4 linked regions of the Elephas maximus indicus genome follow. The protein of the gene in region 1 interacts with the protein of each later gene in a biochemical or structural test. Links are inferred from orthologs where the notes say so. Each region holds a gene or a part of one and is shown in the gene's direction. Other genes may lie near its edges. The genes, in order: TNKS, TNKS1BP1, RNF146 and AXIN1.

Region 1 (7,848 bases):
GTTCTCTAGTGCTGCTATAACAGAAATACCACAAGTGGATGGCTTTAACAAAGAGAAATTTATTTCCTCACAGTAAAGTAGGCTAAAAGTCCAAATTCGGGGTGTCAGCTCTAGGAGTCGGCTTTCTCTCTCTGTCGGCTCTGAAGGAAGATTCCTTGTTCTCAAACTTCCCCTGGTGGAAGAGCTTCTCAGGTGCAGGGACCCCAGGTCCAAAGGACGCACTCTGCTACCGGTACTGCTCTCTTGGTGGTATGAGGTCCCCAACTCTCTGCTTGCTTCTCTTTCCTTTTATCTCTTAAGGGAAAAGAGGTGGTGAAGGCTACACCCCAGGGAAGCTCCCTTTACTTTGGGTAAGGGAGGTGACCTGAGTAAGGGTGGTGTTACAATCCCGCCCTAATCCTCTTAACATAAAATTACAATCACAGAACTGAGGACAACCACATCATACTGGGAATCATGGCCTAACCATGTTGATACACACATTTTGGGGGGGACATAACTCAATCCATGACAAAGAGGAAGAGAGGCTCAGCTAAAAAAGAATTCACAAGAATGGAACTTAGTCATAATCAGTTTAGTCAAGCTTAGGGTGAGAATAAAAGTAGAGATAATAAAATAGGAAAAAAATCATTATTTCAATACTTAGCATTTGCTGAACTATTTTTATTGCAATTTTATAGAGGAGAAACAGATAAAAAACCAAACCCATTGTGCAATGCCTGTCACATAAACCAAAAACCAAGCCCGTTGCCGTCGAGTCAATTCCAACACTTAGCAACCCCTTAGGGCAGAGTATAACTGCCCCATAGCATTTCCAAGGAGCGTCTGGTGGATTCAAACTGCTGAACTTTTGGTTAGGAGCCGAGCTCTTAACCACTGAGCCGCCAGGGCTCCAGAAACTGATACAGAGTGGTAAAATTACTTGTCCCAATTTTTAAAGCTTATAAATGGCTTAGTTTGCATTCCAGTTCTGATCTGAGCCACAATTTAAAAACGTAGGATTAGCAAAGTATTTAGAGTGATAAATTTATGCTGCAAAATGAAATTTTTTGTGTATCTCAGTGACACACCCCCCACATGTCTGTCAGTTTGTTGTACTGGGGGGGTTTGTGTGTTGCTATGATGCTGGAAGCTATGCCACTGGTATTCAGATACCAGCAGGGTCACCCATGGAGGACAGGTTTCAGCTGAGCTTCCAGACTAAGACAGACAAGGAAGAAGGACTCAGCAGTCTATTTCTGAAAAGCATTAGCTAGTGAAAACCTTACAAATAGCAGTGGAACATTGTCTGATATAGGGCTGGAAGATGAGCCCCCCAGGTTGGAAAGCACTCAAAGGATGACTGGGAAAGAGCTGCCTCCTCAAAGTAGAGTCGACCTTAATGACGTGGATGGAATAAAGCTTTCGGGACCTTCATTTGCTGATGTGGCACAACTCAAAATGAGAAGAAACAGCTGCAAACATCCATTAATAATCAGAACCTGGAATGTACAAAGTATGAATCTAGGAAAATTGGAAATCATCAGAAATGAAATGGAACACATTAACATCGATATCCTAGGCATTAGTGAGCTGAAATGGACTGGCATTGGCCATTTTGAATCAGACATTCATATAGTCTACTATGCTGGGAATGACAACTCGAAGAGGAATGCTGTTGCATTCATCATCAAAAACAACGTTTCAAAATCTATCCTGAAGTGCAACACTGTCAGTGATAGGATAATATCCATAGGCCTACAAGGAAGACCAGTTAATGCGACTATTATTCAAATTTATGCACCAACCACTAGGGCCAAAGATGAAGAAATAGAATATTTTTATCAGCTGCTGCAGTCTGAAATTGATCGAACATGAATTCAGGATGCATTGATAATTACTGATGATTGGAATGCAAAAGTTAGAAACAAAGAAGAAGGATCAGTAGCTGGAAAATATGGCCTTGATGATAGAAACAATGCCGGAGATCGAATGATAAAATTTTGCAAGACCAACAACTTCTTCATTGCAAATACTTTCTTTCACCAACATAAAAGGCAACTATACACATGGACCTCGCCAGATAGAACACACAGAAATCAAACTGACTACATCTGTGGAAAGAGACGATGGAAAAGCTCAATATCATCAGTCAGAACAAGGCCAGGGGCTGACTGTGGAACAGACCATCAATTGCTCATATGCAAGTTCAAGCTGAAACTGAAGAAAATCAGAGCAAGCCCATGAGAGACAAAATAGGACCTTGAGTATATCCCACCTGAATTAGCGACCTTCTCAAGAATAGATTTGACACATTGAACACTAGTGATCACAGACCAGACGAGTTGTGGAATGACATCAAGGACATCATCCATGAAGAAAGCAAGAGGTCACTGAAAAGACAGGAAAGAAAGAAAAGACCAAGATGGATGTCAGAGGAGACTCTGAAACTTGCTTTTGAGGGTTGAGCAGCTAAAGCAAAAGGAAGAATTGATGAAGTAAAAGAACTGAACAGAAGATTTCAAAGGGCCTCTCGAGAAAAGTGAAGTATTATCATGACATGTGCAAAGAGCTGGAGATGGAAAACCAAAAGGGAAGAACACGCTCAGCATTTTTCAAGCTGAAAGAATTGAAGAAAAAATTCAAGCCTTGAGTTGCAGTAGTGAAGGATTCCATGGGGAAAATATTAAACGACGCAGGAAGCATCAAAAGAAGATGGAAGGAATACACAGACTCATTATACCAAAAAGAATTAGTCAATTTTTAACCATTTCAAGAGGTGGCATATGATCAGGAACCGATGGTACTGAAGGAAGAAGTCCAAGCTGCTCTGAAGGCACTGGTGAAAAACAAGGCTCCAGGAATTGATGGAATATCAATTGAGATATTTCAACAAACAGATGCAACGCTGGAGGTGCTCACTCGTCTATGCCAAGAAATATGGAAGACAGCTTCCTGGCCAACTGACTGGAAGAGATCCATATTTATGCCTATTCCCAAGAAAGGTGATTCAACCAAATGTGGAAATTATAGAACAATATCATTAATATCACATGCAAGCAAAATTTTGCTGAAGATCGTTCAAAAACGGCTGCAGCAGTAAATCGACAGGGAACTGCCAGAAATTCAGGCCGGTTTCAGAAGAGGGTGTGGAACCAGGGATATCATTCCTGATGTCAGATAGATCCTGGCTGAAAGCAGAGAATACCAGAAGGATGTTTACCTGTGTTTTATTGACTACACAGAGGTATTTGACTGTGTGGATCATAACAAACTATGGATAACACTGCGAAGAATGGGAATTCCAGAACACTTAATTGTGCTCATGAGGAACCTTTACATAGATCAAGAGGCAGTTATTTGGACGGAACAAGGGGATACTGATTGGTTTAAAGTCAGGAAAGGTGCACGTCAGGGTTGTATTCTTTCACCATACCCATTTAATCTGTATGCTGAAGAAATAAAACGAGAAGCTGGACTATATGGAGAAGAATGGGGCATCAGGATTGGAGGAAGACTCATTAACAACTTGCGTTATGCAGATGACACAACCTTGCTTGCTGAAAGTGAAGAGGACTTGAAGCACTTACTAATGAAGATCAAAGACCACAGCCTTCAGTATGGATTACACTTTAACATAAAGAAAACAAAAATCCTCACAACTGGACCAATGAGCAACATCATGATCAACGGAGAAAAGATTGAAGTTGTCAAGGATTTCGTTTTACTTGGATCCACAACCAACAGCCATGGAAGCAGCAGTCAAGAAATAAAAAGACGCATTGTATTGGGCAAATCTGCTGCAAAACACCTCTTCAAAGTGTTGAAGAGCAAAGATGTCATCCTGAAGACTCAGGTGTGCCTGACCCAAGCCATGGTATTTTCAATCGCATCCTATGTATGTGAAAGCTGGACAATGAATAAGGAAGACCGAAGAAGAATTGACGCCTTTGAGTTGTGGTATTGGAGAAGAATATTGAATATACCATGGACTGCCAAAAGAACAAACAAATCTGTCTTGGAAGAAGTGCGGCCAGAATGCTCCTTAGAAGCAAGGATGGCGAGACTGCGTCTTACCTACTTTGGACATGTTGTCAGGAGGGATCAGTCCCTGGAGAAGGACATCATGCTTGGCAGAGTACAGGGTCAGTGGAAAAGAGGAAGACCCTCAAGGAGGTGGATTGACACAGTGGCTGCAACAATGAGCTCGAGCATAACAACGATTGTAGGGATGGCGCAGGACCGGGCAGTGTTTCGTTCTGTTGTGCGTAGGGTCGCTATGAGTCAGAACCGACTTGACGGCTCATAACTACAACAACAATGACATACAGAGATCAAAAGGGAATACTGAGAGAGAAAAGACAGCATTTTTAAAATGACCAATGGGCTAATTATAGTTATGTTTTATTGAGGCCTCTGTGTATGTTAGCTCATTTAATCGTGCTAATAATTCTGTGAGACAAGTATTATTCCATTTTTCCTTTTCCAGACAAAAAGGCTGATAGATGACAAACGACACATTCTCTGTTTGCTTTGAGTGAGTTACACCTTAAGAGCTGGGTCTGTAGCATGAAAAGGAAGACTGAAGGAGACTTGGCAACGTACAGAGCACAGCAAGGCAAACTGAGTGAGAAACGCAGGAAGTTTCCCAGGTAGGAAGTGGCCGGCTCCAACATTCAAATCTCCCCAGCCGGCCCGCCAAGACGTCACAAAGCCCGCCCCTCAGCCACGAGACCACGCCCCCTTCCGTAGCCATTCTCTGAGCTCCCAATACATCCCGCCTTCTCTTCCACCCCGCCTACCCCGCGCGGCATCATTTCCTGTGCGCTGAGTGCTGATTGGTTCAGCGGTCGGAAGTGAGGGCGGGCGGTGAGGCCGTTGCCGCAGTGACAGTGCTGGGGGAGTCCGAAGATGGCGGCGTCGCGTCGCTCTCAGCATCATCACCACCATCATCAACAACAGCTCCAGCCCGCCCCAGGGGCTTCAGCGCCGCCGCCGCCACCTCCCCCCCCACTCAGCCCCGGCCTGGCCCCGGGGGCCACCCCAGCCTCCCCCACGGCCAGCGGCCTGGCCCCCTTCGCCTCCCCGCGGCACGGCCTAGCACTGCCGGAGGGGGATGGCAGTCGGGATCCGCCCGACAGGCCCCGATCTCCGGACCCGGTTGACAGTACTAGCTGTTGCAGTACCACCAGCGCAATCTGTACCGTCGCCGCCGCTCCCGTGGTCCCGGTGGTTTCTGCTTCATCTGCCGTCGGGGTCGCTCCCAACCCATCCGGCGGTGGCGGTAACAACTCACCGTCGTCCTCTTCTTCCCCGACTTCCTCATCATCCTCTCCATCCTCTCCTGGATCGAGCTTGGCGGAGAGCCCCGAGGCTGCCGGCGTTGGCACCACAACGACATTGGGGCCTGGGACGGCGGGACCTGGGCCGGGGGTCGCCGCAGTGAGCGGGGCCCTACGGGAGCTGCTGGAGGCCTGTCGCAATGGGGACGTGTCCAGGGTAAAGAGGCTGGTGGACGCCGCAAACGTGAATGCTAAGGACATGGCCGGGCGGAAGTCTTCTCCCCTGCACTTCGCTGCAGGTCAGAGGTTTTAAATTGTTTATTAAGAGTTTGGGGCTTGGAGGCGGGGGTCTGGGTACGAAAAGAAAACTGATTTAAGTTGATGGGACAAAATGGAGCGTGGTATAGTTCTTCAGCACTTCACCTGAAGACAAGACTCCTTTCTTTAGGTAGTGCCCAGGTGACGGGGGCGTGGTAAGGGGCTGTGTGAATCCATAGTTTAGTGTTTGCACAGTGCTACTTGTACTCATACTCCGTAGTGGTAGTCTCTGGATATAGGTATGCTCGAACTTTTCAGTTCTGAATGTGTAGGAATAAAGTTAGATTTGGGCAACCTTAGAGTAATTTTCTTTTGTTTGCTTGATCATTTCGTTTTTACAACGACGATATGCCCACGAGAGCAGGTCTAGACCAGAAGAAGGTTAATGTGGTTCAACGAGTGTTTAAGCATCAGTTATGGTTTCAGTAAGCCAGTGGAAAACACAAATAAAGTTTGTGAAACTCTTCTTTTTCTCAAGAAGTGTACAGTGTAGTTGGGGAGATCAAAATATTCCTGTATGAAGCAACTGGAGAAGAATATTTGGATGCATTATGTCATGAAAGTAGAAATACATAATAAGTTCTCAAAAAAAAAAAGCTAATTCTTAAGCCCTGGATTCCACGCTTTATTCTTCACCTTTTTTTTTTTAAAGCATACAGCTGAGTATATTCTTTTAAAAACACTTAGTGTCTTAAAAAAATGGAGAAATAAAAAAAGCAAAGGACCATAACCTCACTGTCCCCATACCTACTATTGGTATTTAAAAAAGATAAAAGTAATAATTTTATATGCATGACACACTTTACATTAGAAGTGTATACATTATATATAATACAAAATTTCAAATAGGACAGAAAGATAGGAAGTGAAAAGTTAAAGCACCACACGCCCTCGCATGTCAGACATGCCACACTAAAGCTATCTGTGGTTAAGTTTCTTCCCGGGTTTCTGTTTGTCACTCCTTCCACTTGTTAGTGATAAAATAAGGAACCCTGGCGGTGCAGTGGTCAAAGCAATCAACTACTAACAGAAAGGTTGGCAGTTTGAAACCACCAGCTGCTCTGCAGAAGAAAGATGTGGCAGTCGGCTTCTGTAGAAATTTACCGCCTTGGAAACCCTGTGGGGTCACCATGAGTCGTAATCGACTCGATGACGGGGATTTTGGTAATGAAATGTATGTTAAGAACTTACTATATGTGTTATTTATTTTTACATCCAGTCAGAAAATAACTGTTATCCTCATTTTACAGATGATAAATACGAGGTACTTACTGTTTAAACAAGCCCAGGTTCACACAGTAAATGGTAGAACTGGATTTGAACTCAGGCAGTTTGATTTTAGAGCTTGTGAAATCAAACTTAAACTATCATAACTTAACACCTGGGTTAAGGATACTTTAAAGTTTTGTGAGTCACTGTGGTGCAGAGTTCTGCTTTGGTAACATTTTGGGAGAAGTAGTAATCAGGGGGCATACATTGCAAGAGTAGCTTTAACACTTTTTTACTGTACCCTATACTTAGAAATATATAAAATATAGGGTTGCTATGAGTCGGAAACGACTCGACGGCACTGGGTATACTTAGAAATATATTTTATACTGTGACATATACATACACAACTGAATCAAAAGTTGCAGGAAACAGTACTTTCTCTTACTGTGCGTGGTGTACACTGATATTTCATTTTTCACAGATTCTGTTTGTGACCCACTCATATAGCAGCTTGAGAAACACGTTTACAGAAAATCACTATGACGTTAGTGGATCCATTCTTGACGTATAGACACTACTATTAGGGATGTAGTGAACTGAATCCTAAACAGGCTTCCATCCAACTAGATATTTACTCAAGGATGTTGCTTATTTTACATAAAATACCCGTTGCCATTGAGTCAATTCCGACTGATATCAACCCTATAGGACAGAGTAGAACTGCCCCAGAGGGTTTCTAGGGAGTGGCTGGTGGATTTGAACTGCTGACCTTTTGGTTAGCAGCAGAGCTCTTTAACCACTACGCCACTAGGACTCCTTACATGAAATAGTATTTCTTTTTCTTTAAGTTAAATAAAAGATCTAAGTGTTTTATAACTCAACCTAGGTTGTTTACTTTTGCGTAATTTGTTGTAAATTGCTATTTTAAAACATGTTTTACACATCTTGCAGTTTGTTATCATACCTCTTTTGAAGTAATCACTAACAAATGACAGCTACTTAGAATTATACCCTTTTCTCGCTTATCCACATAGTTAGGTTCCAAAGACCAGGTCGT
Region 2 (7,332 bases), on another chromosome or scaffold:
AGAGGAACTAGCCAGTACTCCCCCCAGCTCAGAGGACTCGGCATCAGGATCCGATGAGTAGACAGGAGGAAATTGTCTCTCCCTGCTTGCCCAGTTATACCCCCAAGGCTCCCCACCCATGTTTTGGTACCAGTTTCTCCTCCCATGAGAGGTAGCCCTGGATTCTGGGCCATCTGTCCAAGCTTTCCTGCGGGTATGCACTTCACCGGAGTGGCTGAGGAGGCGTCTTCCTCTGCTGCTTCACAAGACGGCTCTCTAATTTGGGGAGAAATTGGTTGGGAGGCAGGGCAGTGCAGGATCGAGACCCTTTGTCCTGCTTCTCCAGCCTTGAGGATACGCTGTTGCTTGACCTGTTCAAGTTGCCGCAGCACGGGGTCAAGTGAGGCCAGGCCTGTAGCTCCTAATGGGCGCCAATTTCTACTTTTATTTTGTATTTCTGGTCTGCGAAAATCAACATTTAATAAAGGGAACTGACTTTGGAAACCACGTCCTTGTGCCTTCTCTGTAGCCCTGTCGGATGGCGCCCGTTTTTCCCAGTGTTGTCTACTGTATCGCCCTGGCCCAGCTTCTCAGCTGGGAAGCAATCTTCAGGTACATCCTGTTCTGTTTCCAGCTGGACAAGCATTGGTTTTCACGCTCTTCTGCCGGGACGGGCCACCTGAGAGTGTAGAAATGAGAGCTGATCTGATTAGGAAGTCTCTCTCACAGTTCCACTCCATTAGCCTGGCTAAGAGGAGGCAGCCTCTGGCTCCATCCTTAATCACCTATGAGTCAAGGGTCTTCAAAGGCTTTAGGTAATTGAATCAGGCTTTAGGTAATTGAATTGACCAGTTTCCCTGCAACCAGGAGAGTAGAAACCTGAGCCTGGAGAGTTGGGGAAGATGAGTAGGGTGTGTGTCTGTGCGTGTGCGCGCGTACACGTCTAATAGGGCACAGAAAAAATATGATGGAGTATGTAAACCTTTTGTTCTTAAGGGAGAGGATACTAAATTTGGGGGTTGGGAAGGAGCGATATTTGGGAAGGTAGCGTAGCAGAGGATAAGCAAAGAAAGGAAAGCAGGGCTGCCACCGTATTCCTCCCGGTGGCTCTAAATCTGAATTTACACACGTGGGGTGGCCACGTTGCGTACGTGCTCAGGAGGACTCCGGGGGTGGCAACAGGAAGCCTCTCCGGTCCGCCAACGGCTACCTTCTTTCTTGCCGTGACTCTATGGTGCTGCCATCAGTACAGGCCCTTGGGCTCGCGTATCGGGTCGCCCTAAGGCAGCCTCCACTCTAGGCGGTCGTCTCGGTGGCCATCTTGCCCGAGCATTCCAAACTCCCGAATTGCGTCAGTTTCGCCGGGTCCGAGCTGAGGCGGGCCCCTCATTTGCAAGACTCATGAATAATTGAGTACCAGGGCGGCGCTGTTTGCATTTGGTCGGGCGAGTTCCGTCAGGGCTTCCCACTCCCGGGGTTGCATCGGTTTATGAATGTTCATGAGGTGCTCTGGGGGCGTGGTCATGGGCGGAGCTAGGGGCGGGGCCCCGCCGGTGCTCGCTCTGGCTCGGTCCCGCGGTGACGGCGGCAGCGGCGGCGGCGGCGGTGGGGACTGGCGTCGGGGCGCCTAGCCGAGCGGAGCCACATCCCCGGGGAGCGCGTGAGTGAGCGGGGGCGGGCGGTAGGGCGAGGGAGGGGGCGGGGTCCGGGATGGGGCAGGGGAGGGGCATAGGAGAGGTGGGCGCTTTGCTGCTGGGACCTCTGGGTGAGGTGGGGCGGGGGTCTCAGGGAAAGTTTTCAGGGGCCGGGGGCCGCGAGCTAACAGGGGAGCTGACGCGTGGCCGCGGGGGCGAAGGGTGCACAGTCTGCATCTCGTGCTGCAGGAGCCAGAAGAAAGGGGGGAGGGGGCGAGGGCCTGGGGCGGGCCGAGGTGCTGGGTGACCCCTTCCTCCCTCCTCTCCTCCGGCCCCTCGGCACGCCCCCAGCCACCCCAGGCCGCCCCCACCCGGTCCGCGTCCTCAGTCCTCCATCTGTTCTCCGGCTGCTTCGCATCCCGCGCACAGGTCCTCCGCTTTGCTTTCTGCTCCTCCTCCTCCTCCTCCTCCTCAGCTGCCGCCGCCCCCTCTGTGTCCAGAGCTCCCCACTGGGCCCCTCCAGACGGCCCCTCGCCCCGGGCTGTTCCGCCTTCCGGTTGGCCCTCCCTCCTCCAGCAGTTCGCATGCCGTCCCTGCTGACCTCTCTGGCCCCAGATTCGGCCAGAGATCCCAGGGTCCAGAGGGACCATCCCATCTGCGCCGAGTCGCCTCAAGGCCCCTGCCCTGGGCTCGAGCTTCCCAGCCCCTCCCCAGCCCTTCTGGCGGCCTTTTTTGCCAGGGATCAGTCAGCTCGGCTCCCCGGGACCCCTGGGGGTAGGGAGTGGTCGGGAGCCGCTCCGATTCTGCAGCTTCTGGTCACGGTCTGGTCACCTGGAGCTCCTGGCTGGGGCCTCTGAGCTGCTGTGGCCCCCTCCCCAATTGGGGAATCCATGTTCTCACGTTCATGACTGCTTTCATGGTGCAGCCTCTCAGACCCCAGAGGTCCACATCAGGCCCCCAGGTGAAAGGGTTTTTCGGTTCTGGGCCAGTTTGTCTCCATTTCTATCTAACCACCCACACCATGTCCCTTGTAATAATGTTCAAGGACAAGTAAACGATCTCGTGTTTCTTAATTTAATTTTTTCTGTCCTGTGGCTCCTCCCCCATGCACACTTGGACAGGGACCTGCTCAGTTATTCTCCCACCCAGTGGGCAGCCCTGGGTGGTTCTCGACTAACTGGTTGACCAGTTGATAGCCCTGGGCTTCTTTCTACCCTTCACACATCCTCTCTTATGTTTGAAACAGTGGGGCAGGGGCACAGGTAAGTGGGATAGGTTTTGCAATGGTTGGGCACCAGAGCCCCCTTCTTAGGGTTTGGTGCTGTCTTTTCTCAGACCAGCTGGAGTGTATGTGGGAGGTGGTGCCCCTTGCATATCGGAAAGGGTTGGGTTGCTGCCTTCATGTGCTTTGTGAGCACTAAGTGCGTAGGAAACATTCCTCTTACTTTTGACCTCAAGGGGCAGGGCTCTATCTCCCAGGCTGGAGTGCCTGGGGGGTCTTGTGGGTGGGATGGTGCTCCAGGAGCCAGGATGGGAACTGAGGAGGTGGTGGAGTATCTGAGCTACAGGTGACATGACTGCGGTGTGTGGAAGTGAAAGAATGGGAATGCTGAGAGCCTGGGGTCCAGGGAGATGAGGAAGTGGTTACCTGAGATGCTCGCTCATTGGTGAGACTGTGAATGGAATAATAGTAATAATAGCTAATGTTTATTGGACACTTAATGATGTGCTAGGCATTGTGCTAAGCAGTTTGCATGCATAAAAGGAGCCTTGGTGGCACAGTGGTTAAGCTGCTAACCAAAAGATCAAAAGTTCGAACCCACCAGCTGCTCTACAGGAGAAAGTTGTGGCAGTCTGCTTCCGTAAAGATTACAGCCTTGGAAACCCTATGGAGCGCTTCTACTCTGTCCTATAGGGTCACTATGAGTTGGAATCGACTCGACGGCAATGGTTAATGGGTACCTCACTTAAGCCCCCCAACAGCCACGATAGCCCCATTTTTTAGATAGGGAAACCGAGGATTAGAGAAGTGAGCCATGTGCACAAGGTCACATAGCTACAAAGTGGTAGACCCATCCAGCATTTGAATCGTGGTTCTCTCAGACCCAAAGCACCTGTTATAGATATGGAAGAGGGATACCTATTTGGATTCTACCATGGACTGTGTTTCTTGTTTTAATTTTTTCCTCACCCCCCTCAAAATCCCATCATGCTATCTCTAGGCTGGTGAGTGATGCCCACTTATCTCCCTTTTTCATAGGCTGTGGCTGTTTCAACCTGGGTGTCCTAGAAGGGGGAACCCCAGGGAGTTTTCCCCCAAGCCACTCCACCCCCCGGATGTTCTCAAGCCCTGTCCCATTCTCCCAGCCCAGGCCTGGGCCGGCTCCTCCTTCCTCTTGGCAAGGCTCTGGAAATCCAGTGGGAGGCCATTGCTATGGCAACAGGACTAGGCCTTGGCTTTACCTCATCAAATTCTAAGCTGAAGCCAAAGCGATTGAGAAATTAAAGAAAAAAATATATTCCAGATGTTTACTTTTTATTCCTTATTTTTCCGTGTTTGGATTAGACGGCTCTGAGGGAGGCGGGAGAGGGGCAGGGATGTGGAAGGGGGGTGGCAGGGGGAGAGGGAACCACTCCCAGCTGGAGGAGGGAGGGAGAGAAGGAGGGTGAGCGGGAAGGGGGAGGCAGGCAGTGGGGCGGAGCCCCAGGTTGGGGAGGAGCGGGTTTTTCCCGTCTCCCATGAGGTGATTCACTGGGAGACTTCAGACTTTTTGGCCCTCCTTGTTTTACCTCGAGTAGGTAACTCCAGCGGGGCTGCTGGACCCAAGGGGTGCCTTGGGAACGGTAAGTGGGGTGACTTGGAGAGCTTGCCAGAAGAGGGAGCAGTGGGTGGCTCCCTGAAGGTCCAGGACTCTGGGGTCGGGAGGAAAGAGTTGGTTGGAGGGTGAGCTGGGAAGAGGAGAGGACTTGGCAGCTGGAGTCCTCCCTTGACCTCCCCCAGCCTCCTTCGGAAGTTCCCTCTTCCTGTCCCACTCTCTGCCTTGTGCTAGGAGACTTCCCTTGGCTGAGCCTACTGCCAACGCCCAACTTTTTTTTCCTTCTCTTCCTTTTTCTCTTTTCCTGGGTCTTCAGCTGCCCCAGCTCATGCCCCTCTGCTCCCTGAATCTCACGCAGGGTCTGCCGCATGTGATGAAAGTTTCAACTCTCAGGGAAGGCACAGCCATGGCTTCCCCACCGCCCCGGGAGATGGAGGAGGAGCTGGTGCTCACTGGCTCTGAGCCAGGTACCCATGGGTGCAGGGTGGGGCGGGTAGCTGAGGAGGAGGGTTGGAGGGGCAGAGACTACACCCCCATTCTGTTTTTGTGGAGGTGGGCCAGGAATGGTTCTGTTGAGGTGGGAGTGAGGACGTCCAGATGAGTTTGTAAAGGTCTCAGCCCCTTCGGAAGAGGCTGTTGAGACCATCTGGGGCTGTTTGAGATGCATAGAGCCCCCAGCAGGTAAGAGCAGACAGGGCTCTTCAAGATGATGTGATCAATCAAGCCTCATGTATTATCGAGGGGAAACTGAGGCCCAGAAGGGAGAGATGGGGTTTGAACCCAGGCCTCCTAGCTCTCTGTCTAGACTGCTTTCTTACACTGAGCTGAATGGGGATCATACCGGATTCTATTAGAAGGGAGGTGGCCATGAGTAATTCCAAGGTCTTTCTTTGGCATTGGAATGCCTTATATAGAAGGCAGTTTTCTGGTCTTGTTTTTTTGCTGTAGCAGATTGACTTCTGTTTGGCTTAGGTCAATAGTAAATTTGCATTCCTGATCTTACCAGATGACAGTGGGGAGGTGGCCTGGGAGTATACTGGGGGCGGGGGCAGCAGGGAGGCAGGGCCCGGAAGCCCAGCTGGGCTTAAGAGTTTTGTCATGGGCGATAGTAGAGTATCGATAAAAGAGTATCCCAGAATACAAGGGGGAGGACTAGATAGGGGGATGGTTGGCCACATGGCTTGATATGGGTGGTCAGGCATTTATTTATGGACACTTTTGCCTGTTCATTCATTCATTCATTCATTTTTTCTTTCTTTTGATAAGACCTTGTGTTAGGTACCAAACAGGGTACCAGCTGGGCCCTTAAATAGCAGTAACTTATACGGGGGAAATGCCTAAACATTTTAGAAGTTTGGAGACGGGAGAAGATGCTCTTAGGATGCATGTGGGAAATCAAGGAAGGCTTCGTGGAAGAGGTGGCATTTGAATTGTGCCTAGAAGGATGTGAACATTCTGAGATGGGAGGGTGGGAGATGAGGTGGAACAGGAAACACAAGAAGTTCTGCTTCCTCGCTGTTCTGACAGCTGCCCCCCAACCATTTTGTTCTGATAGGTGACTCTCGGGCCAAACCCCCTGTCAAGCCCAAGCCCCGGGCCCTTCCCACCAAGCCAGCCCTGCCTGCCAAGCCCAGCCTACTGGTGCCTGTAGGGCCTCGGCCCCCCCGGGGCCCTCTGGCTGAGCTGCCTTCTGCCCGGAAGATGAACATGCTGGCGGGACCCCAGCCCTATGGTGGCAGCAAACGTCCCCTCCCCTTTGCACCAAGGCCTACTGCTGATGCCCCTGATGGAGGAGAATCCACTCGAGGGACTGGGAAGGAGGAGGCTGGCAAAGAGGAGGTGCCCCCCTTGACCCCTCCAGCGAGATGTGCTGCCCTGGGCGGCGTTCGGAAGGCCCCGGCCCCATTCCGTCCAGCCTCAGAGCGCTTCGCAGCCACCACCGTGGAAGAGATCCTGGCCAAGATGGAACAGCCTCGGAAGGAGGTTCCTGCCAGCCCTGACCGCCTCTGGGGCTCCCGCCTCACCTTCAACCACGATGGCAGCTCACGTTATGGCCCTAGGACCTACGGCGTTGTCACCAGCCCCAGGGCTGAGGATGGCGGGACCGTTTCCAGGGGATGGTCCCAGGAGGGGCCCCTGAAGTCTCCAAAGGAGAGCCAGGAAGAGCATAGCAAGACCCCTGAGGAGAGGTGAGGGTGGGGAGGTCATATGTTTTGTTGTACCTGGAGGCCGGGGGTACTGAGGATGCCGTGGGTGGCTCCCTGGGGCCGCAAGCTTCACCTCTAGGCAAGTTGTGTGCTCTGAGTGCAGGTACACCCTGGTCTAAGTGTCACAGATGTACTCCTCCAGCAACATACTACTGGGACCATGCTTACAGAGCTGCTGCATGTTTACTGTAGAGAGCTCAAATGTCTAACATAGAAATTTACTTTTAGTTTCTATACACTGAGAGCTGGGCACTTAAGATAGGTATTTTCCAAACTTGTCCCCTTTAATCCACAACCATCTGTTGGGTGAAAGGAACTTAGACCCATTTTGTAGAGGGGGAGACTGAGGATCAAAAAACGATTTCCCACATTCCCTCAGCAAGTAAGAGGCAGAGCTGGCATTTGCATTCGGGTCTGTTTGATTCTGAAGCCTGTACTGTGGGCGGAGCAGTGTGCCAGGCCTGAGGTGGGAGGGGCAGCAGGATGAGCAGGTACAGTCTCTGCCAGAGGAGGAGTCTGATGGGAGAGTTAAGACTGCACATACCAGAGAGTGTGAACACACAGGTTATGGCTGGACTGGAGACTGTTGCATTAAGTACACTTCTTCAGAGCAGGCCAGCAGGCGCCCCTTGGGGTCATGGGCACTGGGCAATGGAAGAAAAGGCTCAGGGATCTCAGGATCCCTCAGCTGCATGG
Region 3 (7,515 bases), on another chromosome or scaffold:
GCTGGGGAGGTCTGATCTTGCCATGCCCTCACTCTCTTGACTCGATTCACAGAGAAAAACAAACAGGTTTTAGATAAAACTTACTAACTTTCCAGAGCCTCCAAACCAAAACCAAACCTGTTGCCATCGAGTTGATTCCAACTCATATCGACCCTAAAGGACAGAGTAGAATTGCCCCATAGGGTTTCCAAGGAGCACCTGGTAGATTTAAACTGCTAATCTTCCAGTTAGTAGCTCTAGCTTTTAATCACTATGCCACCAGGGTTTCCGCCAGAGCCTCAGATGGAGGAATATTAGAACTTTTGACAAAAATTGAACAATAAGCAAAAGTTCCCCCAAAAGGAAAAGACAAAACAACACAAATGCAAAGCTCATTTTTTCAAAGTGTCCACTAAAATTCTAAATTGTTTTTAGTATATTTATAGTGTTTTTAAATATGACCCCTAAACCAGTGTCTCAGTAGTGGGGGAAATTCAGGCTCATTTATCAAAAATGTCAAGCTCTAACGTTCAAGCTTTTGGTTCTTTTTTTTTTTTTGACTCAATTCATTTTGTTGACTAGAGACCTAGTCTCTTATTTTAGACCTTAAATTACCTAAAAGGTTTTGGAAATTAGTTTCTTTAATTGGCAAGTATTTTAAAGTAGCTACTGATGACTTTAACATTGTGATTTTTTATTGAGAAACTATATCATAAAACAGGTCTGAACTACTACTTCTCTCTGAGAATTTGGCAAAACAGAACTGTTACCCAGGTTTTCTCTAGTACTCTAGCCTATCTCACACCACGTTATCCTGTCACAGGAGTCTTTAACGCTTGTGATGAGTGCTGGTGACCACCCTAATGGCTTTTGCTGGTTGACCTGTGCCCAAAATTTGCAGCTTATAGTGAGTGACCCAGAGCTCTTTGGAAATAGAATTGTCTCTTTAATGTTTCATATGCCTGAATCCAGACACAAAACTGCAGTTCACCAAATGAGTTACTGAACATCATTCTTAACCAAATGATCAAGCAAAAAACCTAAGAAAGATTCTCCTTAATCAAACAACTGGCTCTCAAAACAAATGTGCCAAACAAAGCTTAAAAAAACATGAAAAAGAGAACAAAAAGAATAAGTGAAGACTCTTTTTCGAGGGCACTCCCCCTGTCAGTGTCAAAGGGACATAGAGTGCGAACACGTGGGTCCAAGAGATAGGACCTCTTTTTCTTTTTTGCTGGCTTCTGCTCCACAGTCCAGGTCTCCTTGAGGTTGACTGGATTCATGGTTTTAGAATCCCTGCAACAACTACACCATTAACTCTTGTAGGGTGAGGACACCACAAAGTTTAGTAAAGCAAAAAGAAAGGTTTTATTCAGAGTATATTTAAAGAGGCAAAAGTAGGAAAGGGACAAGCAAAGGGAAATGCTGCCAGGGCCATGTCTGTCCAAGTCTCTGTTCCCAGTTCTTAAGGATGCATCTTAGCAGGCCACATTCTGGGATCTTTGAACATTCCCCATTCTTTGGATATACACACTTAAGACTCACACAACCTAATCCAGTGCACCAACTTAACAGGTACCTGAGCCTTTTATGCCCTCGGCGGTCAATTCCTCAAACTTCTTGGGACTCTTCTAAGGCCTTACTAGGAATTACCTGGTTATTTACTAAATAAGTTCAGATTCCTAATGCCTTCAATGGTCAATTTCCCCCGCTTCTTGGGACTCTTCTAAGGCCTTACCTTGAACCAAAAACCAAACTCGCTGCTGTCCAGTCAATTCCGACTCATCTTGCCTAAAAAAAAAAGCCTAGGTACTTATAAAACAACTCAGGTGCATTTCATGTCTTCCACAGAGCCATCTTTTGGGTCCCAGGTGGACTGGCCTTCAGAGCTGCCCCAAAGTCTACAGAAGAAATCTCCTGGTGGTGCCAGACACTGGGGTGGTATGTTGTCTGATTCACCTCAAGAACGGAACAGATGGCTCCTGGCTGGCTCATCAGAAATGTTACTGGGTGGAAAACCCAGGTTCTTGCTCGGCATGACTCGTATCGGCCAATAAACAAGAGACTGCTGTGGGAGTACAGAAAAGGCACCTTTATTGTATAAAGAAAAGTCAGAGCTGCTGCTGCCAAGACTGCTCGCCAAGGGAGGCCAGGCAAGTTACTTTTAAGGGGTTTGCAAGTAGGGAGTTCACATAAGTTATGTCAGCAACGTTCTTAATCATACTATGCAGACACAATGGGGTTTACATATAGTCTCCAAGCAAAAGCAGGATTCCAATGCAAAGCTGAGGGAGAGGAAGCCCAGCAAAAGAAACAGGATTTTTAATGCAACACTGTGGGGAAGGAAGCCAAGCAAAGAAGGCAGGATTTTTAACACAGCACTGTGGGGGCTCTGTCTCATAAGGGCATGGGTGAGAAGAGGCTGCCCTGATTGAAGAACTGTACCCTGAATTGTAACCTATTACTTCCCTGATAGAGCCCATATTTGTGAGCATTGTCTGTGAGTTTTTGCAATGAATTATTGAGCTCAGCAGGGAAGTAGAGTGTCATAGAAGGGACGGTTGGTGTTAGAATTGGTAAAAAGATTGGAGAGAGGAGGCATGTCTGACCTCCACCTCAGAGCAAACAGTCTTGGGCTGTTGATGTTGATTATGATTCTTCTTCCCCCTTGTGAAGTTAGAGGAGGTCAGATGCCCCCGCCACACCATTTTTACAAAACCACTTAAAACAAAGCCTGGCACACTGTAAGTTAATATTACTATTATGTCTTTAAGCTTAAATCTATAAGCTATATATTGGATTTTTTTGCTATTATCTGTTCACAGGTTGTGTAGGATAAAAAAAAAAGTGTAGGATAGAGGAGTAAAATTGAATGGCTAAGGAAAGAATGAAGATATGAAACTAAACTTCCAGGTGGAGGACCTACATGTTCATATTCTACACTTATAAGAAAAAGAGTACTTCTTAATGAGTAAACATCAAAGGAATAGATAGAACTCTTGAAGAGACTGATTACATATTGATGAATATGAATTCAGAGAAATAAAAGATAATGTACACAGATCTATAGATACAAGTGAGACAGAACCCTCACAGTGTTGCATTAAAAACCCTGTTTCCTTTGCTGGCTCCTCCCCCACAGGCTTTGCATTTGAATTCTGCTTTTGCTTGGAGCTTATCTGTAAACCCTATTGTGCCGGGGTAGTATGATTAAGAATGTTGCTGACATAACTTACATGAACTCCCTACTTGTAAACTCCTTAAAAATAACTTGCCTGCTCACCCTCGGGCAGTAGGCTTGGCAGCAAGGGCTCTGACTGACTACTTTTATTTGTACAACAAAATAAAGGTGTCTTTCCTGTTCTCCCACCAAGGCCAATACGAGTTATCCTGAACAAGAACCTGGGGTTTCCACTAGGTAACACAAAAAAACAAAAAAAACACAAGGACACTGAAAATTTCCAAGCCTGAAAAAAATAATGAAACCTCAAAATGCAATACTACTGCCATGGAATGTTGAAATATGTACTGTTACTATACAAAGCATTCCCTTCCACACTCCGCATTTTCTACAAATTAAAACAATTTAGTCAGTTATGAAAAAAAGTAAAGCACATGCTAAAATAAAATGCATAATACTGCCAAGTTTTTTTATGTTTAAAATTACACACACGCTACAAAAAAAAAAAAACACCCAATTTTTAAATTATAGCTCTGCATGGTAATTAAAGAGCCCTGGTTATACAGTTGTTAAGTCCTCAGCTTCTAACAGAGGCCAGCAGTTCGAACCCACCACCTGATCCTCTGGAGAAAATCCTGGCAGTCACCGTCCAGAGGTTTACAGCCTTGGAAACCCCATGTGGTAGTCTTACTCTGTCCTACAGGGTCCCTATGACTCAGAATTGACTTGAGGGCCGTGGGTTTGGTTTTGGTATGCTGATTAATCTCTTTCTCCAGCTTCCTGTGTTCTTTTCTGTTGGGAAAAACGAGTCCAAACAGAAAGTAAGATCCATTTTTTTTTCCCCTAATTAAACTGCTCAACTATTCTGAGGGTGAATTCGAACATCTTAAGGACTCTTTTTTTTTCTCGAAAGAGACCAAACAGAAGAGCACTTTTATCAAGAGCTCTTCACACCGAAAGCCAGCCAGCTAGCTAGCTGCGCAAGGACTTCTTCCGGATGGCCCAGTCGGGTTCCTGAGCAGCACCACCTGCTGGTCCTATATACGTCCCACCTGGTCCACCCAAAATCTCCCTCTCCCTTTCAGAGCCTCCTGGACCTAAGCATAAGTAAAACAATATATAAAGATATTTATAAAACAATATATAAACCGAAATTGCAGGTAGTCTGAGGAAGGAGAAGGACGGCACCCAACAAACGCTTCGGCTACGGTAGGAAACCAGCGAAGCGGGGACGGCCCGGCAGGGACTCCTGCGCAAGCTCCCGGCTGTGCAGCGCTCCTTCCGCCCCGCGCAGACCCGCCCCGCCCCGCCAGCGCGGGGCCCCGCCCCTAGGACGCGCCGGGAGGTCACGTGACATCCGCGCGCGTCCCCGGCCGCTGCGGGCTCGGAGGCCGAAGAGGAAAGACTGCGAAGTGTCCGCTGCGGTGGCCAAGAGGTGGGGGTCGGGGCCAAGCCTTCCTGGGGGGCAGGAGGGAGGCTAGCCCTGCCAGAGAATCCTGTCTCGGGGAGAGGAGGGCTACCCGCGGTGTCACCGCCGGTCGCGACTCGCTACGTGTCTGTCCTGCGCTCGGGGCCTGAGAGGGGCGGCGGCGGGGTCAGGACCGGTACGTAGATCGACGCCCTTGGGCCGGCGTGGCCCCGGCTGTCCGCGCGGAGGCGGGATGGGAGAGTTCAACCCTTCCCGCCGCCTCCGCCGTGACTGTTGTCGCAGCAGGAAGACTCACGGCCTCAGTGGTGCTCGCGGCCGCTGCAGCCCCTGCCCCGAGCGACGGCTCGGAGCTGTTCTAGGTCGGGGTGCGAGAAGCAGAGCAGCGGCCATTACTGCGCAGCCTCTTCCGCCGGTCCGCATCGCGGCCTTTGGTGGTGGCCGGGTACCTTCTCATCCCTCTCGGCGGTAGTGTCAGGCCTCTGTCTGGAAGATCTTGTCCTTAGAGCTTAGGTGAGGCGGTGGTTTGGGGGTTACCTGCTCCCTGTTTCTCGTGAGGAGTCAAACACCTTGGGCCTTGTGTCATATCGAGGCCTGGGTGTACAGTCCCCGCATTTGAATGTATTTTGTCTTTTTCGAGTGCCTTTGCTGTCTTTTTCTCTTCCCTCTCTTCCTCCTCCTGCCCACTGTCCCGGTCTTGCCTGAACCCGGATGGATATGAAGACAGCCGTTCGTCCACCCGAGCCACCGCTGCATATTCTTAGATCTTTGTTTTGACTGTTATTAAACATCGGAAAAATTGAGAGATCTCTCAGGGTACCGTTTGAGCCTACAAACATAAGTGCATCCTAAAAGCGCAGAGTGTTGCTTTGTTCTTCTGGTTGCTGGGTGTGGAGTTCTATCCCTACCCCCCACCCCGTCTGAAAGAGTACAGGTCTTCCTCCATTGTTGTCGCTATTTTATTTTCTGAAGGCTTCTCCAGGAAGGTTGCGAAATGTTTGGACAGTGTAGAGATGGAACAGTTCTTTCCACAGGTAAAATCTACAGGATTGTAAGTTTATGCACACATTCTGGCAACTGGATTTTTTTCCCCTTCAGTTATCAATGAGAGGTTTTATTTTTTTTCACTAAGTGTCATTTTAGTGAGCACTTGCTGCTCAGGTTTTGAAAATACGCACATTTTGTTAGGTAACATTTTTCTAATATTAGTATGGAACTGAGGAGAAGATAACTAATAGATGATAGAAAACACTTTGTATGATTGACATTTTAGGTGTTGAAATGGGGTGTAAAGTGTAACACTGGGCATTGAAAGTAGTATATAATTACAGAAATTAGAGACTTAAGACTGTTTTTAGTAAGTGAATCTGTATTTAGACTTTTAAAAGACATGGCATGTAGAAGACATAAAGAAAATAACCCACACAAATAACACAGGATTTATAAAGTTAGGTTTGTTGTTTTTATGACCAGCAAATATTGTTTGTAGTGAGTGGCTGGGTGTTCTAAAAACACATGAAAATAGGTCAAGTAAATGACATTTTAAAGAGAAAACCGGAAGAGTGAATACCACTCTAAAAATAGATTTTGGTGTGTTTGTTTTGTCATTGTATATTGTATTGTGGAGCACTTTTTTAAGCCCTTTTGATTTAGAATTGATGTTTCAAATGGACCAGTGTAAGTTGTGGGCAAAATGGAAATAATGATACTTAAACATTTTGAAAGTTTTTGTTGTTCGATGGGTGGTAAGAACTTAGTAGAATTATAATCATCAGGTAAGCTGTTTCTCTCAATAGCTAGTCGTTAGACAAAAGGAAGGGAAAAAAAAAGTGATTTTTCTTTCTGCAGACATTTATCGACTAGTGAAGTGTTTTGTTTCAGTTTCCACAGCTTGAATCGTTGGAAGAAAGGGGCAGACTTTTTGAAAGGACCCAAAAATGATTTCTTGACTTTGAAGAAAAAGATAAAATTAAATTTTTTCTTTGTTTCATATCATTCATCTGTTTAAAGAATAAATGTGTTAGCCATATACTCACATGAAACGCCTGACATATTGTCAGGAATTTGAAAGCTTTTTTCGACAATATTAGCAATAGATTGCTGAGCCTTTTCCACTTTTGCTAGTTTCTGTTTGTGACTAAAGAACCTGAATTGGTGAATCAGGCTAAGTTAGGAACAATTTTTGTGAGTATAGAAGCCATCTTACTAACACTGGGCTATATCTGTACTTATTTATGGATTGTGTTTAGTGTTTGTGGCATATTACCTTTTTGGTTAATTATAGCAAAACCTGTTGTTAAATGCCTGTTAATTAGAACATTTTGAGTTACAGAATTATAGAGTAGGGTGAAACAACTAAGACATGGAGGATTATGACTTGACCAAGGTCACACAGATAATTAGTGGCAAAGCCTTTTTATTTACAAAATGGTTGCAGGCTGTGGCACTTCTGTGCTTGGTATGATTAAAAGACAATATTTGTTGACATTCAGATGTCATGTTTTATTAAGATAAAATTCAAGGCCCACGTTTTATTTGGGGAAAATTTTAACTTTTAATGCTTGAATATGAAGATTGTGAAGGTAGTAGATTTCCATATAGTAATTTTTCTTAAGAGAAATAATATATATATGTGGGAAATAATTCTTTAAAATAAGAGTAGTGTGAAGTGTTAGACTCCTTTTAGCTAAAATGAGTTTTGACTGAATACTTGTTGCCAAGTATGGCCACCGTATTGTGTAAGCTAATTTTTAATAGGAGATAATAGTAAAAGCGAAAAGTGGAAACATTAGGGCATTTAGTTACATCTGTCAATTTGGAACTCTTAAGATGTAAGAAGTACAGCCAGAATGTTCCTTAGAAGCAAGAATGCGAGACTTGGTCTCATGTATTTACCAGAAGGGACTAGTCCCTGGAGAAAGGACATCAT
Region 4 (7,031 bases), on another chromosome or scaffold:
GAGGTGAGATACTCTCTGAATGCGGCTGGTGCCAGGTCATGGGAACAGAAACCACCTCAGCTGCAGGGTAACGTCAGGCGGCGGGTCACACACAAAACTGTCACCGGCCAGCAGGGGCTGGAGTGGGGATTTGTGAGATTTTGGGGACTAGGATCCCCGGGGAGTTGTCTGCCTGAAGTGCTATAGGCTCTGGGGTTGGCAGGAGAATGGGATCAGCCTTGACAGTGATCCAAACACCAGCCAGGAGGACTGACCTGCCCATCAGGCATGAAGGGCAAGACAAGCTGAGCACAGGAGAAAAAGGAGCAGGAGCAGGTATTGGTGCAGTTCAGGGCCAACGTGGGCTTGGCAACCACAGCAGATGCATCTCTCAGGAAGGTCACCTGCCACTCCTGCAGGCACTTTCTCCCTGGTCACAGGCCCGGAGCCCACAGCCCAGCCCAACGCCCCACTCGTCCTGCCCTGCAGGGTCCCACCTTTGCCGCACCTCCCTGTATGGTTAATTGACACCATCAACCATTGACAGAAAGATGTCACTCCTTGCGTTTCCATCTGATCAATGCTCCGGGGTGGCCTTTTTTTTTTTTTTTTCATCTTTTGGCCTTTATATATACATTTTCTATTTTCACAGAAACAGGGAGACTGTGTGTGTGGTTTAAAAAAAAATCATTTATTGAGATAAAATATGTATATTATAAAATTTACCATTTTAACCATATTTAAAGTGTACAATTCAGTGGCATTAGTTACATTCACAGTGTTGTGCAACCATCGCCTCTATTTGCAGACATTCTCATTACCCCAAAAGGAAGCCCTGTACTCATTAGCAGGCACTCCCCATTCCCCCTCCCCCTAGCCCCTGGCAACCACTAACCTGCTTTCTGTTTCTATGGGTTTGCCTATTTTGGATGTTTCATATAAATGGAGTCATGTAATACGTGGCCTTTGTGATTGGCTTTTGTTTAACCTCATGTTTTCCAGGTTCATCCACATCGTAGCATGTGTCAGGGTCCATTTCTTTTTATAGCTGCATAATATTCCATACTTTGTCTATGCATTCATCTGTTGGTGGACAGTTGGGCTGTTTGTGCGCAGTTTTGTAGGTTTTCTCCTTGATGTTATATATCATGAGCACTTATCTGCAGTGGGTAGGGGCATAACAGATGACACTCCTCCCTCCCCCTCTGCTGAGCTTAGAATTGATGGAAAAAAAGAGGCTCAGGGACAGAGAGATGGAGTCCAGAGGCTTGTGGCCAGGGCTGTGCCGCCAATGGGAAGCCAATTCCCCACTCTGTTAACTGGATGGCCCAGGCTTCTGTCTTCCTTCAGGGCACCCCCTGTGGCACACACACACCTGTGACTCCAGCATATGCGGGGGTGGAGAGACCAGAGGGGCCTATGGAGAACCCACTCCCCTCCGTGGAAACCAAGGGGCACGGGCAGTACGGTTCCCTTAGACCGGCCATTGACTGTGGCCATCCGTCTATGCAGCTGCCCTTCTCCTGGATGCTGGGCCGCACCCAGTTCCAAGGATTGTCCATCTTGCATGACGGACTCCACACCAATCTTGGTTGCCCCAATGCCTCCCCCAGGTCACTTTTCTAAGTGTTCATCCACAGTTGATGGGGCGGACACCCTCAGGGCTTCGAGGTGTCCTTTATTTCAGAGTACCCCTTTTCCACCCAAGTTAGAAAACAGGTCATTTCTGCTCCTACATTTTTCATTTAGTCCTTGGTGAGCCTGAACAAGGCCATCTGTAGTTGATCAAATCTCCGTTAAAGCCTCTGGTGTCAAACTGCTCTCAGTGAAGGGGTGTTTATCTTTGAAAGGACCTTTGTTCTGAATGGAGAGCACTCTGTCCCCACACCTCTGGCCTGTTCTCAGCTCAGGGTGGCTGGCCCAGGGCCCCTGCCCAGGTCACCCTGCTTAGTCGAGAACACCTTCCTCTGCCTCTCTCTCCACAGCCTTCCTCACCATCTCTCTGGTCTGGCCCCTGGTGGGGGCATCTTCTGAGCTCACCCCCTCTGGCCAATGCTAGGTAGTCTGCTCTCCCCACCCTCATGACCATCATCCTCTTAGCAGGGGCCGCTGCCTCCCCCAAGGCTTTCTGACCCCCTTCTTGTCCCTGCAGGCTGGAGGCCCCCAGGAGTGGGAGGCCCAAGGGCCCTGTTCTGGTCCCAGGGCCTGGGGAAACCCTCTGCCTTGGGCCAGGAGGAAGATGGGCATGGACACAGCCCCCAGAGCCTGGCCTGGCCATTGTGGCAGCTCTGCAGATCGAAGGCAAGCTCTGGGGCCCTTGTCTGGGAGTGGACAGGGCCAGTGTCTGGGATGGCCTGCTGTCTGTCCAGCCCACCCAGGGCTGCCTCCCACCATGAGACTCTGCTACAGCATGAAAGCAGCCACTCTGTCTCCTCCAAGGTTCTGAGGCTGCACCAGGCAGGGGATGGTGCACAAGGGTCTCCTGTGCCCAGCACTCTGAGCCTGTGTCTGTCCAGTGTTGGCTCAGCAGTACAGCCCCTGCCCTTACTGCCCTGAGGCATGACGATGGCCCCAGAAGGTGGCCTGGGCCCTTGATGGGCTGGGAACCCTTCCTTAGTGCCCCTCCTTCCATACCACTCACCCCAGGCAAGCATCACAGGGGGCAACTGGGCAGGAGGTTGACTAGGGGCTCCAGGGGCTCCATGCCAGGACTTCTGCCCTTGCCGGAAGCCGTGAAGAATAAGGGGGGTGGACAGCTGAGGTTGAGCAGTGTCCAGAAGACGAGGTGACTGAACAGGCGGTCTGGGCCGCCTGGGTGAGCGGCATGGGTGAAAGCATGGGGGTGGGCAAATAACCAGACACATTGAGGAGTGGGTGGTGTGGGGGAGATGCCACTGGGTGAGCCCTAGGGGGCTTTAGAGCAGGGGCAGCCCAGATGACAGCTGTTGGGGAAGTTTGGGTGTTGAGGAGTCCTGGTCCAGGTGGTGACAGGTCCCTAAATGGCCCAGGCTGTAAAATGGGGGTACAGCTTCCCCTGGGGGTTGCTGGGAGCATCCAGAGAGGTGCTAGGCCTGATACCGGCTCTGAGAAGGGGTGGGGCACGGCCGTGATTCCTGGGGATCAGAGACTCCTGGTGGCCACATCCTTCTCTTGGAGAGGTGCTGACAGTGGACTGCGGCCTGGGCAAGGGGCTGGACGTCACTAGGAAGTTCAGCCCCCAGCCACCGGGCCTGCCGGCTAACTTGGGACCCCTACTTCCCCAGTGGGTGGGTAGGCTGAGGGGGGGTCTCCAGGGCCAGCAGGGCCTGAGGCTGCCAGTCCCACTGGTCACCCCGCCCACCCGGGCACGAGGTGGTGAAGCGCGAAGGGCGGTGGAAAGAGCGGCTGGGCATGGGCCGGGCCTGTGGGCGCCGACCTGAGGAATCCTAGGCACGTCGATCACCGGGGCTGCCTTCAGTCGTGTTGGCCGCAGAAAATCGTGGGCGATGCGGGGTACGCCCACATTCCCCTAGATCCAGAGCTCCCTCTCCAGGACCTGCCCCTCGCCGAGACTCCACCCCCCGCCCAAGGAGCAGTCCTGCGCTGTGGCTTTACCTTGCGCTCTCGGCCCCGCCTCCCCGTTTGAGGCCACACCCCCACGTTGTGGCACTACCCCCACGCTCTCGGGCCTATCCCCGCCCTCTGGCTCCGTCGCGCTCTCTTGGCCCCGCCCCCTCACTTCCGGGAGGCGCAGGCGGGGGTTCTCGGTCTTGGGCTTCGGCGCTTTGGGCTCGGGCTCCCAGCTCGGGGACGCGATCGCGGCTGCCACCACATCAGGAGCCGCCGGGGTCGGGCCAGAGTCGGGCCGCAGCCGCGTCCGCCGGGAGCGGACCGGTGAGAGCGGCGGCCGGACCTCGGCGGCACCCTAGCGCCGCGCCCTCCCCGTGCTGGCCGCGTCCGGGCCCCGCGTCCCGCGCTCCGCGCGGCCGCCGCCGCCGCCGCCGCCGCGGCCGCCGCCGCCGCCGCGATGGGGGCCGTTCCGGGCCGCGCCCCCGCCGGGTCCCGCCTGCCGCGCCGCAGCTGAGCGCATGGGCCGCGCCGCTCCGCGCCGGGAGCCGGGCCGGGGCCCCGCCGCCGCGGGCGGTGAGTAGGGCGGGCGGGCCGGGCCCATTGTAGGCCGCACTAGGCCGGCGGGCGTGCGAGGTGCGGGCCGCGGCGCGGGACCCGGAAGAGGGCTCCGAGGCGTGCAGGCCGGGGTGCGGAGGGGACGTGCAGGGGTGCGAGGGCTGAGCCGGGGACGTTTGGGCTCCGAGGGGATGCACGGGGTTCGAGGGCGTGCGGAGAAGCCTTGGGGGTTGAGAGGTATCCTGGGAAGATGTTGGGGTCCAGCCTGCCAGGCAGGGGATGGGAAGGCAAGGCCCTTGCCACAGAGACGTGTTAAGGGGGATGAGTGGGCTTGGTTCAGAAAGAGCAGGCCCTTGGTCTAGGTGTGTGGAAGAGAGTGAGGAAGACCCAGGATTCTGAGAGAGGGAGTGCTCTCAGGAGAAGGGTCGAGGTCTCAGCAGCTGGGTGTGTTTGCATGATGCAGGGTGGGTGCTGTTGTCCGTTGGCCTGGGGCAGGTTTCAGGGTGCAGGTGGGGTCAGAGTGGCTGCTGGGGCCAGAGGTCAGTGCAGGAGTTCTGGAGAGCGCAGCTGTGGAGTGCTGTTCTCCTTATCCCCCAGCAAAAGTAGGAGTAAGGGCGTCCAAAGCCTTGGCAGGCCCTCCCTTTCTGTGGCAGAGGTGCTGGGGCTCAGCTTGTCTGAGTACCCGCTTTTCCTGGCCTCCACACCCCCTGTTATCTTGCCTAAAACCGGGTCTCTCTTGTGGGTCTTCGTTTCTATCCCCACCCCACAATTTGGAATTCGACCCCCCCCCCCACGCACCCATGAAACCAGGGCTGCACAGCTGTGGCAGCAGAACTTTTTAACTCCTCAGGAGGTCAGTAGGGATGATAACATCAGTCCTCTGGGATTTTCCTGAGCCCATCCCTAAGTTAATTTATAAAGGGTCCTCATTGTGCACAGCGGCCCCTCCCTCTTGGCTCATCTGTATTCTTTGCATCTTTAGGCAGATCTCATGTTTACTTGGATCCACAGGCCGTGGTCTGGAGAAGCACATACGTCTACACCTGACCAACCAGAGATAGTCAGCAGTAGCTCAATTTCAATTTAAAGAAATTCTGTTCGGTACAAGGGTGGGAAAGCATGTAAATCATGGTGCTTCTGCTTGATTTTCAGCTGGTTCTGACCTTTCAGAAAGGCTGATCGTTAGAAATTCAGGTGTTGGGGGATGGATTGTATGTAAAGCAGTAGCCCTGACCATTCAAGAGTTTAATTAATGGACTATTGGGAAAATGTCAGAGTTATACTGTTACATCTGCTCTCCATCTAAATAAAAAGTTCGGAAGATAACGTTTGAGTAAAATCTATCATCTCATCTCTCTACCTACCTACCTACCTAGGCACAGGTGTAGTGGTTCGGTTACTTGAGGTGGAGGGTGCTGCCATGGTCCAGGGGTGTGCCCAAGCCAGGACCAGAAGAAATGTAAACAGTGTCAGGCTTATAGATCGCTTTTTACGGATTCACTTTATTGATGGTGGTTCCAGGCTGTGGGCCAGAGTTAGTGTTTGTGGCTACTTGGCGCAGACCTGAATTAATACAGCTGTTCTGTGTGTGGTGTGTATGTGTGCACACTGAATAGTACACCTGTGTCTTAGTTGGAGCCCAGGACTGAGACCACGAGAGCAGGTTTATGCTGTCAGTAGTTTGTCAGGGTGTCTCCGTGCTTCAGGGACACCAAAGATCTCCGTCAGTGGACGGCCAAAAATAGATGAGAATGTTGGGAAAAGTTTCTTTTAGCCTGTGAAACTAGTTTAGCATGATTAAGGTGGATTTGGTTCTCAGATGAATTGAAATGTCATTCTTGAAAGACACCTGCAACTTTGTGATGAAAGGTTAGATCTAACAGCCCCTTAAGAGCAGGGACAGTAACAGATGCGTAATTAAGTTCCCACTTAGAGTATTGTTTGGTAAGTGATTTTTTCATGTGTCTAGTGACCTGGTTCCTCCTCATGGTGTGTGCACTGCAAGGGTCCCAGGGGCGTGTCATGTTGGCATGTGCAGAGATACAGACACAGGAGGGATTGCTTGTGGCTGACAGGGCTGAGGGACAGCGACTTTTGTGGCAAAGTGGCCATGAGCGGCGGGACACCACAGCCAAGGGGCCTTGACCTTAACCAGCAGGCATTCCTGCTGAGGCCACTGTTGCAGCCTGCCCAGCAGTTTTCATGAAAAGTCACTCGCTGCAGAAATGTTTTCCAGTGTGTCTCGGGTCTGGCCCCAGGTGGAAGCAGGGCCCGGCAGCATGGGCCTTAGGCTTCAGAAGGCTGCCCTCTAGACTAGTCCTCGGGTTTCACTTTGCACACCCTGGCCTCTTTAGCACTCCGGAAAACCTGTGATCTCCAGCATTTGTATAGCTGGGACCTCTTAACCTGGTGGCTGATGCAGGGAGAGAGAGGGTGAGGTTAGCAGGAATGGTTGTGGGCTCCTTGAGGGTGTGGTGGGGGGCCCTGAGGACCAGGCAGAGAGTCAGTCTGTCTGAGCCTTGTGTCCAGGACGATCTGATCCTCATATCCATGCTGGCTTGGGCGACACCAGCAGCAAAACCCTTGAATCTATGACCTCTATGAGGGGAGGGGTGTTTCCTTCAGTTTACGGAATTCAGTCACATGAGCTCTGTGCTTCCTTGGCTAAAACGTGTGACTGGATTTGGATTTGATTTTTTCTTGTGCCTTCTTGGTTTCTTAAAGTACCTGACGGCCACCTGCTGTCAGATGCTTTCTCACACTGACGGTCAGGATGCCCTGTGCTTTTGCAGGTATCCTCCAGTCACTCAGCCCGTGACGTTGGAGGTGACCCCCAAGTCACGGCTTTTTTGTGTGAGTTGAGAGAGGAACACCTTACTGTGGGTTACACACTGCACGTTGTGCTGAGTGTGAAGGGGTGGTGGACAGAAAACATACCCGCTGTTGGC

What was found.
Region 2: the proteins of TNKS (region 1) and TNKS1BP1 form a complex in vitro, tested with the Homo sapiens proteins (2 studies listed by BioGRID). The link is inferred for Elephas maximus indicus from reciprocal best matches to the Homo sapiens genes TNKS and TNKS1BP1.
Region 3: the proteins of TNKS (region 1) and RNF146 form a complex in vitro, tested with the Homo sapiens proteins (3 studies listed by BioGRID and IntAct, with this or other methods). The link is inferred for Elephas maximus indicus from reciprocal best matches to the Homo sapiens genes TNKS and RNF146.
Region 4: the proteins of TNKS (region 1) and AXIN1 form a complex in vitro, tested with the Homo sapiens proteins (2 studies listed by BioGRID). The link is inferred for Elephas maximus indicus from reciprocal best matches to the Homo sapiens genes TNKS and AXIN1.

Annotation. Positions count from the first base shown.
Region 1 is NC_064840.1:71,012,943-71,020,790, reverse strand, and holds the start of TNKS (poly [ADP-ribose] polymerase tankyrase-1), read left to right. Parts: upstream 1-4,846; 5' UTR 4,847-4,890; coding exon 4,891-5,560; intron 5,561-7,848.
Region 2 is NC_064825.1:118,733,421-118,740,752, reverse strand, and holds the start of TNKS1BP1 (182 kDa tankyrase-1-binding protein), read left to right. Parts: upstream 1-4,322; 5' UTR 4,323-4,457; intron 4,458-4,745; 5' UTR 4,746-4,757; coding exon 4,758-4,896; intron 4,897-5,984; coding exon 5,985-6,618; intron 6,619-7,332. Other genes in the region: FACT complex subunit SSRP1, read left to right, coding at 1-61.
Region 3 is NC_064819.1:195,289,352-195,296,866, forward strand, and holds the start of RNF146 (E3 ubiquitin-protein ligase RNF146), read left to right. Parts: upstream 1-4,503; 5' UTR 4,504-4,595; intron 4,596-4,602; exon of another isoform or gene 4,603-4,764; intron 4,765-7,515. UniProt on the Homo sapiens protein: E3 ubiquitin-protein ligase that specifically binds poly-ADP-ribosylated (PARsylated) proteins and mediates their ubiquitination and subsequent degradation. May regulate many important biological processes, such as cell survival and DNA damage response.
Region 4 is NC_064830.1:57,641,649-57,648,679, reverse strand, and holds the start of AXIN1 (axin-1), read left to right. Parts: upstream 1-4,017; 5' UTR 4,018-4,101; intron 4,102-4,193; exon of another isoform or gene 4,194-4,214; intron 4,215-7,031. UniProt on the Homo sapiens protein: Component of the beta-catenin destruction complex required for regulating CTNNB1 levels through phosphorylation and ubiquitination, and modulating Wnt-signaling.